Astyanax mexicanus: one gene and its partner. The protein of the gene in region 2 purifies or fractionates together with the protein of the main gene of each other region. This does not show direct contact. Links are inferred from orthologs where the notes say so. Each region holds a gene or a part of one and is shown on either strand. Other genes may lie near its edges.

The links.
Region 1: the proteins of tdp1 (region 2) and xrcc1 purify together in Homo sapiens (affinity purification with mass spectrometry; 4 studies listed by BioGRID and IntAct, with this or other methods). This does not show direct contact. The link is inferred for Astyanax mexicanus from reciprocal best matches to the Homo sapiens genes TDP1 and XRCC1.

What each region holds. Positions count from the first base shown.
Region 1 is NC_064408.1:133,563,978-133,571,737, reverse strand, and holds the start of xrcc1 (DNA repair protein XRCC1), read right to left. Parts: upstream 3,164-7,760; 5' UTR 3,016-3,163; intron 823-3,015; 5' UTR 805-822; coding exon 754-804; intron 670-753; coding exon 577-669; intron 1-576. Other genes in the region: sialic acid-binding Ig-like lectin 13, read left to right, coding at 5,841-5,955, 6,821-7,177, 7,391-7,696. UniProt on the Homo sapiens protein: Scaffold protein involved in DNA single-strand break repair by mediating the assembly of DNA break repair protein complexes. Negatively regulates ADP-ribosyltransferase activity of PARP1 during base-excision repair in order to prevent excessive PARP1 activity.
Region 2 is NC_064421.1:7,932,509-7,940,705, reverse strand, and holds the start of tdp1 (tyrosyl-DNA phosphodiesterase 1), read right to left. Parts: upstream 3,205-8,197; 5' UTR 2,982-3,204; intron 876-2,981; 5' UTR 867-875; coding exon 233-866; intron 116-232; coding exon 72-115; intron 1-71. Other genes in the region: efcab11 (EF-hand calcium-binding domain-containing protein 11), read left to right, coding at 4,376-4,441, 7,384-7,479. UniProt on the Homo sapiens protein: DNA repair enzyme that can remove a variety of covalent adducts from DNA through hydrolysis of a 3'-phosphodiester bond, giving rise to DNA with a free 3' phosphate.

The DNA of each region.
Region 1 (7,760 bases), on a different chromosome or scaffold from region 2:
GATTAATATAGTTTAGCTCCACCCATTCAGCCTAAAGCAGTTTAGATTAGATTAGTTTAGCTCCACCCATTCAGCCTAAAGCAGTTTAGATAATATAGTTTAGCTCCACCCATTCAGCCTAAAGCAGTTTAGATAATATAGTTTAGCTCCACCCATTCAGCCTACAGCAGTTTAGATTAATATAGTTTAGCTCCACCCATTCAGCCTAAAGCAGTTTAAATTAATATAGTTTAGCTCCACCCATTCAGCCTACAGCAGTTTAGATTAATATAGTTTAGCTCCACCCATTCAGCCTACAGCAGTTTAGATTAGATTAGTTTAGCTGCACCCATTCAGCCTACAGCAGTTTAGGTTAGATTAGTTTAGCTCCACCCATTCAGCCTACAGCAGTTTAGGTTAGATTAGTTTAGCTCCACCCACTCAGCCTACAGCAGTTTAGGTTAGATTAGTTTAGCTCCACTCTTTCAAGCTGAAGTTATAAATGGTTCCACTAGTGATCTAGAACACTAGCAGCGTTAGCGCTGTTAGCAGCATTAGCGTAGCGTCTCCCGTCGCAGACGAGATTAGGTTTCAAACCTGTAAGATAACGGACGTCTGCTTCTCCCCGGGTCGGGCAGATTTCCACTTCCTGTACGTGTCGGAGCTCAGCAGGTTATCCGCCTTGTGAGTCTGAGAAACAGAAATTATATAAATTATTACAGAAGCTCACTAATAATTCAGACGCATTTCTACAGTAAATAAACATTTACTCACTGAGTCCTCAGTGCTGCAGGAAACCACGTGCTTCAGTTTAATCTCCGGCATGTTGCACGCTCAGAAACCCTGTAAATATATTAGATATTAAATTAGTTTTCTTTATTTTCAGATAATTAAAGAAAAATGATGGAAATTCTGAAATAAAAAAATTATTTTACTATACCTGGATTTAAAAACACGCCTATTAATACTTAAATCTACATAACGAATTATTATTATAAACTACCTTTTAGTAACTCTCCCTTACACCTTAAATGGTGCTGGAGTTACACTTAAGGCTACAGCATTTAAGGTGGAAAGAACATTCCAATATGAACCCACGTAAAAAGAAGCACATTTCACTCTAATTTAAAACAAAATTACACATGACATAACTACATTTCTAAGAGATGAATTACCATCCTTTTAAAACATAATAAAAACAAAGTTTACAACTAAAATGAAATGAGGAATATTCTGTATTAAAACACACTTTTAAACACACTGTTTGGTGTTTCTACTACATTCAGATTTAACCTGTTGTATTACTTACACTTTTTTATTTTTATTAAATAAACTAAAATAAAGAATATTATAAATGAAACTGTCAACATGTATACACTTTAATGCAAAAATTAACCTACAAAATCCTATTTTCAAGCTACTTCTTTTGGAACTCCCCGTTCCACCTTATATTGTATCAGGCGCTTGAATGCAACTGATGCAGCATTTAAGGTGGAACGAAAAGCTCCAACAAAAAAACTATAGATAAAAAGTGTAAAAAAATAAATAAATAAATAAATAAACTTTCCTATACATTAACAAGATAGGCTAACCTTAATAAAGTAACTTATCATAAAATAAAATATTATAAAATAATAAAGCTTATACCCCTATAACCTACTAACACAACATAATTTATAAAGATAGCTTAAAATAATCGCCGTTATATTAATAGAATTTGCTTAATTTTTAATAAATAAAATTAAATAAAGGATATTACAGATTTAAATTATTTAATTACAAAATCCTGATTTTAAACTACTTCTTTTGAAACTCTACGGTCCACCTTCCTTCAATAGCATCATGTGCTCGAATGCAACTGATGCAGCATTTAAAGCAAAAACTATACATAAAAAGTGTATATAAAAAAAATCTTCACTCTAAATTTAGAAGATAACATATATAAAAATATATAAACATATGACAGTCAATATATGCTAGATAAACATAAATAACATATAAAACATTATAAAAACAAAGCTTATACCACTTTAACCTACAAACACAACATATTATAGACACAATGTATAAAGACAGCTTATAAAGTATTAGCCACTATATTAATAACATTTGCTTAATTTTTTATAAAAGGATATTATGGATTAATATGTAATTTGTGTATACATTAGTGTATACATTGTATTTAGATTTTATTATAGAGGCTAATCGCTTAAGCTAGCTGAATATATTAGCTATGATTTGTTTGTAGGTTATAGGGGTATAATCTTTGTTTATATAATGTTTTATAAGTGTTATTTATGCGTATCTATCATATATAAATGAGTCTGTGTGTTACATGTTCATTTTTAAAGGTTACGATCAAAATTTAGAATGAAGTTTGCCTCTTTTTATCTATAGTTTTAGTCTTCTCGGAACTTTCCAGTCCACCTTAAATTCATTCATTCATGCATTCAAGCGCCTAATGCTATTTAAGGTGGAACGGAGAGTTCCAAAAAAAGCAGTTTAAAATCAGGATTTTGTAGTTAATTTTTGCTGAAAGGGAATTCTTTTTATTATTAATTACATTTGCTTAATTATGAATAAATTAAATTAAATATAGGGTTTTATAGATTAAAACTTAATTTGTTTAAAAAAATTAACTACAAAAATCCTGATTTTAAACTACTGCTTTTGGAAATCTCCGTTCCACCTTAAAAAGCATCGTGCGCTTGAATGCAATTGATATAGCATTTAAGGTGGAACGGAGAGTTCCAAGAAGAAGGCAGCTAAAAAGAAGCAAACTTTACTCTAAATTAACACACACATTTACTAAATTAAAAAATAGCATATAAAGTATTTTATACATCATTACTTATCATAAATAAAACTTAATAAACTATAATAAATCACAGCTACAGCGGAACAAACCGCTAACAGTGCCAATGCTAAGCTAACCTGCTAACAACACTTTATAACAATACAGCAACAATAACACACAGCTAATTAGAGCTTTAAAATACAGGATAAACCGCAAACACGCAAAAACCCGCAACATACCTACAGCATGAGCCCGCGCGCCGCCGGATCCCGCTCTTAATACCGATAAAATACCGATGAATGACCGATAAACTCTCAGCGCGCGGAGTAACGCAGGAATCAGCAGCAGCAGCAGCACTCCGCCCGCAGCGCCGTAACCGAGCCTCCAGCGGGGCGCGCTCCAATCCGCTACTGCCACTGAGCACTAGGTAGTGCACACTAGGAAGTGAACACAGGGCCTGGAGGGTCCCTAAGTCGACAGGAGCGCGACCCAGAGTTCTGTGCGCCACCTGTTGGCGAGAGACAGCAAAGCACCGAGAAAATAAGCAATATAGCATAAAACTATTATATATGGCAAATTCCTCAGAATCTGTGCCATTTCTGTCCCCAGGAAATACATCTATAAATATAAACACAAAATAACTTTAAAATATATTTTATTATTAAGCATAGTGTCTTGTACCTAATTGACCTTATTGCAAAAGTAAGATATATAATTTAAAACATTAATAAAAACTACTTACAACACTTACCCATTCTCCCCCTCTCTAACTATAAACTTTACCATGAAATATATTTATTAAAATCCTTCAGGAATGTATTTTTTTGCATTGTTGTGTGACTCCAAATCTATGCTTTAAAAATATGTTTTTCATAATAAATCCCTAATATTTAAGTTAAAATACACATTTTAGTTGTGTCCCTTGGTTTTTTCACTCAGTCCTGTTACCGTAGCACATTACCCCATCTGAAACATTTGGAATATTCTACAACAGGTAGTTGTAGTGTCCCAAAACTTTAAAATAAAATAAAATTAAAACGTGCTGTGTTGCAGTCTTGTGTTGCTGTGTTGTATTGTTATGCTGTGGTGCTGTCGTGTGTTGTTATGCTGTGGTGCTGTGTTGTATTGTTTTGCTGTGGTGCTGTGTTGTATTGTTATGCTGTGGTGCTGTGTTGTATTGTTATGCTGTGGTGCTGTGTTGTATTGTTATGCTGTGGTGCTGTGGTGTGTTGCCGCACTGTCTTTTCGTGGTATGTGCTGTGTTGTTGTGGTGTGTTGCCCTGCTGTGTTGCCGTGCTGTGTTGCTGTATTGTGTTGCCGTGCTGTGTTGCTGTATTGTGTTGCCGTGCTGTGTTGCTGTGTTGTATTGTTATGCTGTGGTGCTGTGTTGTTGTGGTGTGTTGCCGTGTTGTGTTGCTGTATTGTGTTGCTGTATTGTGTTGCCGTGCTGCGTTGCTGTGTTGTATTGTTATGCTGTGTTGCTGTGGTGTGTTGCCGCACTGTCTTTTCGTGGTATGTGCTGTGTTGCCGTGCTGTGTTGCTGTGTTGTATTGTTATGCTGTGGTGCTGTGGTGTGTTGCCGTGCTGTGTTGCAGTGTTGTGTTGCTGTGTTGTATTGTTATGCTGTGGTGCCGTGTTGTGGTGCCGTGTTGTGTTGCCGTGCTGTGTTGCCGTGCTGTGTTGCTGTGTTGTATTGTTATGCTGTGGTGTGTTGCAGTGTTGTGTTGCCGTGTTGTGTTGCCGTGCTGTGTTGCCGTGCTGTGTTGCTGTGTTGTATTGTTATGCTGTGGTGCCGTGTTGTGTTGCCGTGTTGCTGTGTTGTATTGTTATGCTGTGGTGTGTTGCAGTGTTGTGTTGCCGTTTTGTATTGTTATGCTGTGGTGTGTTGCAGTGTTGTGTTGCCGTGCTGTGTTGCCGTGCTGTGTTGCTGTGTTGTATTGTTATGCTGTGTTGCTGTGGTGTGTTGCCGCACTGTCTTTTCGTGGTATGTGCTGTGTTGCCGTGCTGTGTTGCTGTGTTGTATTGTTATGCTGTGGTGCTGTGGTGTGTTGCCGTGCTGTGTTGCCGTGTTGTGTTGCTGTGTTGTATTGTTATGCTGTGGTGCTGTGGTGTGTTGCCGTGCTGTGTTGCTGTGTTGTATTGTTATGCTGTGGTGTGTTGCAGTGTTGTGTTGTGTTGTTATGCTGTGGTGCCGTGTTGTGTTGCCGTGCTGTGTTGCTGTGTTGTATTGTTATGCTGTGGTGCCGTGTTGTGGTGCCGTGTTGTGTTGCCGTGCTGTGTTGCCGTGCTGTGTTGCTGTGTTGTATTGTTATGCTGTGGTGTGTTGCAGTGTTGTGTTGTGTTGTTATGCTGTGGTGTGTTGCAGTGTTGTGTTGTATTGTTATGCTGTGGTGCCGTGTTGTGTTGCCGTGCTGTGTTGCCGTGCTGTGTTGCTGTGTTGTATTGTTATGCTGTGGTGTGTTGCAGTGTTGTGTTGCCGTGTTGTGTTGCCGCACTGTCTTTTCGTGGTATGTGCTGTGTTGTTGTGGTGTGTTGCCCTGCTGTGTTGCCGTGTTGTGTTGCTGTATTGTGTTGCCGTGCTGTGTTGCTGTGTTGTATTGTTATGCTGTGGTGTGTTGCAGTGTTGTGTTGTATTGTTATGCTGTGGTGCCGTGTTGTGTTGCCGCACTGTCTTTTCGTGGTATGTGCTGCGTTGTTGTACTGTGTTGCCGTGCTATGTTGTTGTATTGTGTTGCCATGCTGTTTTGTTGCCGTGCTGTGTTTCAGTGCTGTGTTGCCGTGGCGTTGTTTCCTGCGGCTGGCGAGGTTTAGCTGACCTCAGGTTCTTCTGCTGCTCTCGGTTCCCCTTTCCTCACTAACTATGGGGTTTCCAGTGAAACAGAGAGAGGAGAGTTATATATTAAACTGCACACCACAACAGCCACGCCCACTCACTGCAGGCCACACCCACACACAGGGGGCGGACCTTCAGCAGAACACACCACCACTCCAGCAGCTACGGGTCAGTTAGCAGTCCGGCGTCTCTCCGGTGCAGTGTGTGGTGAGGATATTAAAGATAAAGCTGATGATGATGAAGCTGATGAGGATGATGATGATGTTCTGCTCGGGGATCAGCTCTCTGCCGTCGGGTTCTGCGAGGTTCTGCTGTGGTTCTGTTCTGATGTTCCTCTGGGTGTGGGGTGAGCAATCATTTCAGTCACATTAATACAAATATATTCTCTAGACTAATTAAATATTATTAATCTATAATCGATTAACACACTTTATTCAATGTTGTTTGGCTGTAGAAACACTAAACAGAGTGGCTGTATTTTGAGATGCAGAGCTTTGCAGTAACACTAAAGGGAGGGGCTGTAACTGTTCAGGGGCGGGTCTTTAGTGGAACACTGAGGGGAGGGTTTCTATAAAAGGTATGGGGGCGGGTCTTTAGTGGAACACTGAGTGGAGGGTTTCCATAAAAGGCATGGGGGCGGGTCTTTAGTGGAACACTGAGGGGAGGGTTTCTATAAAAGGTTTGGGGGCGGGTCTTTAGTGGAACACTGAGGGGAGGGTTTCTATATAAGGTTTGAGGGCGTGTCTTTAGTGGAACACTGAGGGGAGGGTTTTTATAAAAGGTATGGGGAGGGGCTTTAGTGGAACACTGAGGGGAGAGTTTATATAAAAGTTATGGGGAGGGGCTTTAATGGAACACTGAGGGGAGGGTTTCTATAAAAGGTATGGGGGAGGGTCTTTAGTGGAACACTGAGGGGAGGGTTTCTATAAAAGGTTTGGGGGAGGGGCTTTAGTGGAAAACTGAGGGGAGGGTTTTTATAAAAGGTTTGGGTGCGGGTCTTTAGTGGAACACTGAGTGGAGGGTTTCCATAAAAGGTATGGGGGCGGGTCTTTAGTGGAACACTGAGGGGAGGGTTTCTGTAAAAGGTTTGGGGGCGGGTCTTTAGTGGAACACTGAGGGGAGGGATTCTATAAAAGGTTTGGGGGCGGGTCTTTAGTGGAACACTAAGGTAAAGGGTTGCTGATCCCCGGCTCCTCCTTCTGTATCTGCAGGTGTTTGCGGCTCTGATTGGTCGGTGAACGTTCCCACCTCTATCGCTGGTGTATCCGGGCTGTGCGTTCATGTCCCCTGCAGCTTCTCGTACCCGGGCCCGAGAGCGCCGGCCAGTAAGATCAGGGGGCTGTGGTTCAGGGGCGGGGCTCTGGTGTGTAACAGCCGGCAGTGGGAGCAGGTGGACGCTCTGTACGTGAACAGAAGCAGAATCGTGGGTTCTCTGGAGAGGAACGAATGCTCGCTGAAGATCGGGCTGCTGGGGACGGGGGACGCCGGGAGTTACATGTTCCGGGTTGAGATAGACGGGCAAGACCGATACTCGTTCAAGGACCAGCGCGTGACCCTCAGCGTGACCGGTCAGTCTGACTCTTCGCACACTGAATAATCACATTTATATTAGAGATTGTCACGATGTTATGCTTGATCAGTGTAAATACCAGTGGTGTGCAGTGAGGACCTTCTAACCCTTCAGAGAAGGGGTGACAATAAGTGCGTGGTACCCACTATATTCACCGCACGCCACTGGTAAATACATATATGGAATTATACCCCTCCGTTTCCTGTTCCAGACACGCCCCCTGCTCCATCCCTGCAGTGCCCGGGTGTACTGGCCGAGGGCGTCCCCGTGTCTCTGGTGTGCTCTGTGGTACACACCTGTCGGGAGGCGGCGCCGGTGCTGCGCTGGACCTCGGTTAGGGCCGGGCAGGTGGTGCTGCAGCCGCAGGGACGTCGGCAGCTCCAGCAGCGCTGGGAGGAACGAGCCGTGCTGAACCTGCTGCCCTCTCCTGGAACCCACGGGGAACTGCTGCAGTGCACCGCCGTGTTCCCCAACGGACTGCAGCGATTCACACCGCCCTGCAGACTGCAGGTCAACTGTACGTTCACCTTCGGCTAACTGTGCTAACTCTAACTCCGCAAACTAACTAACTCTGCTAACAA
Region 2 (8,197 bases):
TACCTCTACTTTTGTACACATAATTTCCAAAACACACATCATATATGGATATATATTTATTATTTGTTTACCTGGACGGACTCCTTCAGCGTGCCAAACATAGGGGAAAGTATTTCTGAGTTAAAAGGGAAAAAATAATTAGTTAATTAATGAATTAATTTATAATTAATTAAACTACCTTAAACTAAGTTCAAATACATTTTATATTTCTGTGAGAAAACACATTTGGTACCTTTGATGTGCAAAGCTCCAGTGTTGAACTTCTTTTCTATACCAGACACTTTGTTTAAATAAAAGCGGTATGTGTCGTTCATAGCTGATAAGTTGGCCTCAAAGAAATCGCTGGGCTCCTCTTTATAGTAATTAGCACCGTGGGGGCTCGGCGGACGCTTCTCCTCGGTCTTCTTCCTCGGTGGACTTCTGGAGCTCGGCTGTTTAGGCTTTGTTTTAGGGGCAGATGAAGGAGCTGCATCATCATCATCACTGCTAGAGAGGTTCCAGCCTCCCTCGTCGGTTTCTCTCTTGCGTTTCAGAGCTGGAGAAGAGCTGTTTTCATATTTTACAGGATTGTTCTGGCTGAGGTGCGCTGCCTCTCGGGCCTCAGAGCCCATGGGGAGGGAGGAGGTGGGAGGGATTTTCTCAGTCTTAACTGGTGGCTTAGGTTTCACATTAACTTGTGATTTGGGCTCAGGCTTGGGTTTTGGAACAGTGTTAACCGTAGAGGCTTTGCTCTCTGGGTCTGGCTTCACATTTGGCTTGGGGTTTAGCTTGATGTCTGGCTTTTTCGGGGGTGTTGGAGGTACTATGTTGTCATCTTCGTCACTGTCGGACAGGGTCCACTTGCCGTGTTGACTCTCCTGTGACATTCTGTTCTACTGCAGAAACAAAAAAGCAGACATGACCACCAAGTTATTCAAAATAACGCACTTTTACAGCAGCTTTGTCTCTACAGTGTGTTACACCAAATCAGAGTGGGTGGACAAGATAACAATAGTCAACTTTTAATTTGAAGAGACTAAATCATAATTATGAAGACAGGAACATGGTGAGTCATATTAAGCTGCTTGTCAATAAGCAGTATGGGTCTAAAATTATTATAATAAATTTAGAAAAAAGTTCTACACAAAGTTCTGCAAAACCCATACAAGCAGAGACACAGAACACTAAGAATGAAATGATAATCTCACTATTTAAAGAGTCAGTGGATACCAAACAAAGCTATGACCTTGTGGAGTCCCAACAAGGTTATTTTATTGGCTTTAACCCAGGTACACTCTCTGTTCCAACCACTATACACTCATTAGTGCATTGCACAATGCAGCACTGTGCTGTTATTCTTTATATATATTTTAATATTATTCCACTTGTTTTGTGGACTTTGTTTTAAATCTTAGTCATTGAAGACATTGAAAGGTTTGGGGTTCCAACTTTCACATATCCAATCGACACTTATGTGGAATATTGTCTGTATATATATATATATAGTATAGAATTTGTACATTAAGCCTTCATTCTCTGTCCAAAATACTAACACAAGATTTGCAATGTGAATGTAAACTTTTAACCACATATTTACATTCAACATAGCAACAATTTAAATACCCTTGCAACCACTTAGAAAATGCCATCCACATGCAATCAAAAAGCAACCTCTTAGCAACCACCTATCAACTGCTTAAGAAACATCATAAAAAGCAAACTCAGACAGCATAGCAACCCCTGAGATATCATATCAACCTCTTAGTAACCCCATAAAAAAACAACCACGTAGCAACCCCAGCCTATTATTATTTTTTTATTTTTATCATTTATTATTATTATTATTATTATTATTATTCTGAGATTATATTTATTACAACATATTGTAAATTTCACTTTGCCTTTTTTATTTTTTTGTTATGTTTTTAAGTTTGTTTTCCCACCTTGTTTTTTAATAATGGGTGACTCATTCATTACCACATTCTTTATGGGCATAGAGCAGTCTATCCTGATATAGATTTTTGCCATATTGTCCAGCCCTAATATACATATATACAAAAAACAATATTTGATACCTACAAAAACAATCCTATATATTTAATGCCCTGCAAAAATCTTGAATGGCAGTTTTTTTGTTTGTTTTTATTTATTTATTTTTTTTTTTCTTCAGTTTTTGGCATTATTTGAATCTGGCAGTTGCTCCACACAAATGCTCCATAATTTCTTGCAATAAATTAATATTACATTAATTTTCATTATTCTGTAAAAACAGAAATCTTTGCATAAAATTTAAAATTTAAAATGGTTAGAAATATATCATTGTATCTACTCTAGGTTACATAAAATAACTAACTTACAGATCAGCTCCCTCACTCATTCTATGGGGAAGAACACTAACCTATATATGTGTTTTTTAGGAGCTAAATACGATGTGATGTATTAGAGAAGTTTAAACACAGTAAACACTCCGGAGGACAGGACATAACCCTTTTGGACCCTACATCCATTACAATGGACATCTTGTTTTTTTTTTCTTTATTTTTAAATGTTTTGTTGCACATAACACTATTTGAGGGCTGTTGGCCATGAACCAGCCAATGCATAAAATTTAAAACGAATGAAACTACTAAAGATAATTCAGTTCTGACTATGTTAATTAGTAGGCTGCCAGGCTGTAATTTAAGAGATTTAATGCTAGCTTATTGGGCGAGCTGTAGCTAATTCACTAGTATACATTTTAATTACATTTAAGTACTTAATTTAAAAAGCTACAGAGAAATACACGTAACAACTGCTAGGTTAGTTAAGTTATCTGGTTTAGTACATAAAAAAAGCATTCGTGCACTCATACAGTCGTACACATGTAAATAGTTTAGTTTATTTACTAATAAATTAGATAGTTTAGTTTTCCTACACAGTAAGCTTTACCTAAACACAAACACCAACATCTGCAGAGCATTACACACACAGCCCCCAGCCCACAGCACACACACTTAACTTACTCCGGCGGGAAAATTCTGCAGCTTTAGGGCTATTTCCACCTCATATAATAACCTGTAATCACTGCAGACGCTGCACTATCACCAAATAAAATAACAGAAAATAACAAAAATTCGCCTGTTTAAGCCTCTGTATCGCTTATTTTACGCTTGTTTTGAACTCCAATGCAGATTTTGCTTCTGTTTAGGTCTGAATCAACACGCTGGACTCAGAGCTCTTCAAAATAAAAGTCCTCTTTATATGAAGCGTATGTCTGTGTGTAATGTGGAGCACTGGGTTTCAATATACAAAAATATAATTCAGGTATTTAAAACGTTTCCTTGTTTTAATAAAACGTTTTAACGATTTAATAAATGGTTTAATAAATGTAATACATTGTTCAGTTGGTTTTAATAATAATATAATAATAATACTAATAATACTAATAATACTAATAATACTAATAATAATAATAATAATAATAATAATAAGTGTTGATTTTATTTGTCTGTTTAACATGCCCTTAATTTAATAAAAGGTTGCATTTGCTAAACAAAAAAAAAATACTTTCAAATAATTAACTCAATTCCTGTTTCTTTAGTCTACATTAAAAAAAAATCCCCCCAACCTCAAAGCTTTATTAAATTAAGGGAACGTTTTATTAAATTAAGGGAACATGCCTCAGTATTATTGTACTGCCTTCATACGTATAGGTGTTATTAGAATGGTTTTATTAGAGCATTAAATTTAAATAGTAGTTAATGTATTTTGTACTAAACTAGCTAACTGTACAAGGTGTACACTGTACAAGGTGTGCTTTTATATGACATTTTATCATCCCCTCCATTAAATACAATTTAATTTAAAAACTAAATCTTTTGTTTAGTAATTAAACTCATTTTCCTTTAGTTTACAAGAATACCCTCAACACTAAACTGAAGCAAAGCTGTATTAAATTAAGAAAACGTTTTAATAAATTGAGACTCTTTTTTTTATTCTTTTATTATGTTTTTTTTTATATTTTATTATGGAATAATCTAGATAATAAATAATATTGGAATCATAAATTCAACTTTCATGTTTCACGTTTCTGTTTTAATTTCTTGTTACCAAAAGTGTAACACAAATGTTAAGGGAATGATCACAGCCTATCTATTTATTTATTTGTTTATTTATTAGCTTAAATAATTTATTTTACTAAACGTTTCTTCACTGAACTTTTATTGTCTAAAAAAAACGACTGTTCGGTTGCTAGGCAACGAAGACTGGTCGAAGGTATACAAGGCAGGCTAAGGTGTAAAGTTATATGCTAGTTACCTGGTTTAGAGCACACTAACTAATAGCTAACTGTACTACAGCTGTAAAATATTACTATAGTATTACTATATACACTATTAACTAGCAATAATAGGGAGAAATGTCTGGAGTTCGGGGTGCTGGCAGAGAGATACTAACCAAAACTGAGAGAAAAAGATTTATTTGGGTAAGATTTTCAGCGCTATCCAGAACTTTGTAACGCTAACTTACTAGCTAGTTAGCTAACTAGCGTGCTAACCAACCTAGCTGCTAGTTAACTAGTTAGCCACTTCTCTGACTTATGACTTTTAAAATATTTAGTTTATGTTGCTGTTGTTGAATAAACACTGTTTAGGTGTTTTGTAAGTATATTCATGCTTCAGTAATGCTGAAATTCAGTCCGAACAAAGTATTTAGCTTAACTAGTTCTAGAATTAGTTTTAGAAAAAGAATATTATCTTCAGAATAGCTTGCTAATAATAATGCTTTTAGCTATAAAGCACCAGCGAGCTGAAATTCACTAAAGGAAACTCAGCTCACTGGTTTTACTAAACCATTTTAAACCACCTTCAGACAGCCTTTATTTCTTGTTTTAGTTCTTATCTTAGTTTTTTATTTCTTTCATTATTTTTGTATTATTACTTGTTAATTTGTATATTTATTATTATTATTATTATTATTGTTATTATTATTATTTATTTTTTAAATTGTACTATGTAAGTTTGTTTTAGCTTAATTTTTACAGATTTCTATTTTATAATTTTATCTTCTTTTTATGTTTAATTTCTTATCAATATAACCTCAAATTTTATTTTTTATCTATTGTAATCTTTTATTCTCTGTTATTTAAAAATATATATTTTTTTATTTAAAGTGATTCAAAATAAAGGTTGATTGTTAATAGCCTAAGCCTATGCTCAGGTAAAGTAAACTTGTTAATTAACTTGCATGTTAGGTTACTTTGCTAGCTAAATTCTATAAAAAAAGCTCAAATAAAAAAAAAACTGTACTATAATGTATAATAGTGTCACTGTGCAAAACATTTACTCTAGCTAAAATAACTGTTGCTGTATTTAATTTAAATATGCTTGTTGATAACAGTTATGTTAACTAGCTACAACAGTTTTAAGTCTTGTTACTCAAATTATAGTACAGTGTTTTATTTTATGTGTTTAGTTTTTTTTTCATTGGATTTATCTAGCAAGGTAAATAACAGACAAGTTTACTTTTGCTTATTTTTGTTTAGTGCCTAGCTAGCTTCTCACCGTACCTTTAACTAAATATTTAGGCTAATTGGCTATGTTGTAAAAAGCCCGATGTTCGCTTTCTTTTGTGAACTAATAATGTTAACTACAGTCTAAAATTATAGTTTTCTTGAAGAAAAAGCTATCGCCCGAACAGGGACTTGAACCCTGGACCCTCAGATTAAAAGTCTGATGCTCTACCGACTGAGCTATCCGGGCTCTGAGTAGCAGTGGGAAATCTCTCAATATAAGTTAGCTATCGGTATGCACTTTATTTTAACATTAGCTAGTTAGCTAGCTTGCTAACACATGTTTACATACTGTAAAATTAATGTAATAATAAGTAAGTTACACAGTGTAAGCATTAAAGGAGATTCACACCATATGGTAGCACAACAGTATTAACAATAACATCATACAGTTGATTGTAACACTACACAATGCATAATATTAGTGTGGTTATAATTACGAATATATATATATATATATATATATATATATATATATATATATATATATATATATATATATATATATATATATATATATATAGGTATATATATTAGGTATTAGTAACATTGTTAAAGTAATGGTAGCTAACACCATGAGGAAATCTGTTACACTATATATAACACAGTAGTTACGTTACACAATACTGAGAGCATGGTAGCTAACACCATAATGGGCGCTGTGGCACCATAAAAGTAACAGTAACGCTACAAAGGAAACAGGAGATTTATTGTAACACCGTGTGACCGACACAGTACAGTCTAAAAATGTGCATAGTGAGAATAAAGTGCAGAGATAAGTGACATACTGTAAAAATATAGGTCATACATTATCACAGCAGGTACTGAGGTAACGTTAGAGAATAGGGGTTTGTCATATCGTATCATACGCAATAATATCGCCCAAAAAATGATATAAAAAATCATATCATGATATTGTGATATTGTTTAAAGCAGTTTATTTTTCATTCTTTGTATTTGTTTTATTTACGTTTAATTATTTGTTTAAAGTTTGTATGCTGCACTTTAGTTTTATGATATATTTTTGTTGGTACATTGCTTTATTTTTGTTGCATTTTGTTACATTTTTGTCTTACATTATTATTTTATACAAAGTCAGGGTCTTGGTAAGTTAACTTTACTTACAAATATAAATATATATATAATATATATATATATATATATATATATATATATATATATATATATATATATATATATATATATATATATATATTTTTTTTTTTTTTTTTTAACAAATGAATGACACAGTTTTATTTTTATACCTGAAACACTTATATACCTGAAAAATGTTTTTTTTTTTTCATATTGGTAAGAATATCATTGTTGCAGAAAATACCCTAAATTATTGTGATATTCTTTTAAAGCCATATCACCCACCCCAAGTAGAGAATATACATTACTTAGTGGAATATTGCTGAAAAGGGTATAGACAGTTTCTCTGTGTGTGTGTGTGTGTGTGTGTGTGTGTGTGTGTGTGTGTGTGTGTGTGTGTGTGTGTGGAAAGTGATGTGAGGGTGGATATATCTGGCTGAATTGCTCTCTTTTGCACGACTGACCAATAATAATATATATAATCAGTACTTCTGTAACCTTAAATTCACCTTTTATATTTCTGTTTCAACCTCTTGTTACCAATAAAGTATAATTGTATAATTGTTTATATTTAGCTATGCTTTCATCATGTCCAGGGTTCTGGTGATCAATAAAGCTCATTATTATTTTTATATTAGATTCATTTATATAATAAAGCTGCAAATCAAAGGAAGTTTGGGTTGTAGAGTATCAAAGCCATATGCTAGCTTTGTATACACTCTCATGTTTTGTGTATCTTGGTTTTTCTTGTTTTCCCTCAGGTTTTTGAGCAGTGTGATGTGGAGAAGAAAGGTTACCTGTCCAGAGAAGATCTTAAAATTGCAGTTGTTATGCTGTTTGGATACAAGCCCTCAAAGGTAGTTCCTGGTGCAGCCCCTAGAGAGCGACATTTGATAGGTTATAATCTGGGCTGTGGTGGTCTGGTAGTGGTGTGTAGAATACAGTAATTCTTAAACATTTTAGACCATGTGTGCTTATTCCTGGTCCTGGAGATAAACCACCACCCTGGATATTGTGTGATCCAACACCCCTAGGGTGTGTCCCAATTGCATATTAGTTACTAATACTAACTAATATACTCAAATATCCACAATACACACGTAGAACTGGTCGTTTTTTCAGCGTGGATACTCCGGACACTTTTATCTCACAATGCAATGCAAAATGGAGAGTGAGGAGTTGAAAAATTTAGATGACTATGCATTAGTTAACTGAAATTAAGTGCAGTAGGTGGCTGTAAAACCACATTTTTATTGCAGTATTAGCAATATATACAAATGTAAAAAAAAAATGAAAACACTTCAGAATGCTGGAGAACGCCTTCATCACTTCTGTTTTAGTACATTTATAATTTTTGTACTAACTGGTCAATTGGGACACAGCCTTAGTTTAGCCCACTCACATATCCCAGAAGACCTTAATTACTTGGGTCAGGTGTGTAAGATTGGAAGGGAAGGTTGTGGATAGGCTGTGGATCTCCAGGATCAGGATTATACAACCCTGTTTCAGACCGTACACCATCCATGATTTAACAAATACTTAGAAGTTAGAGCATCAGGCCATTGACAATAAGGT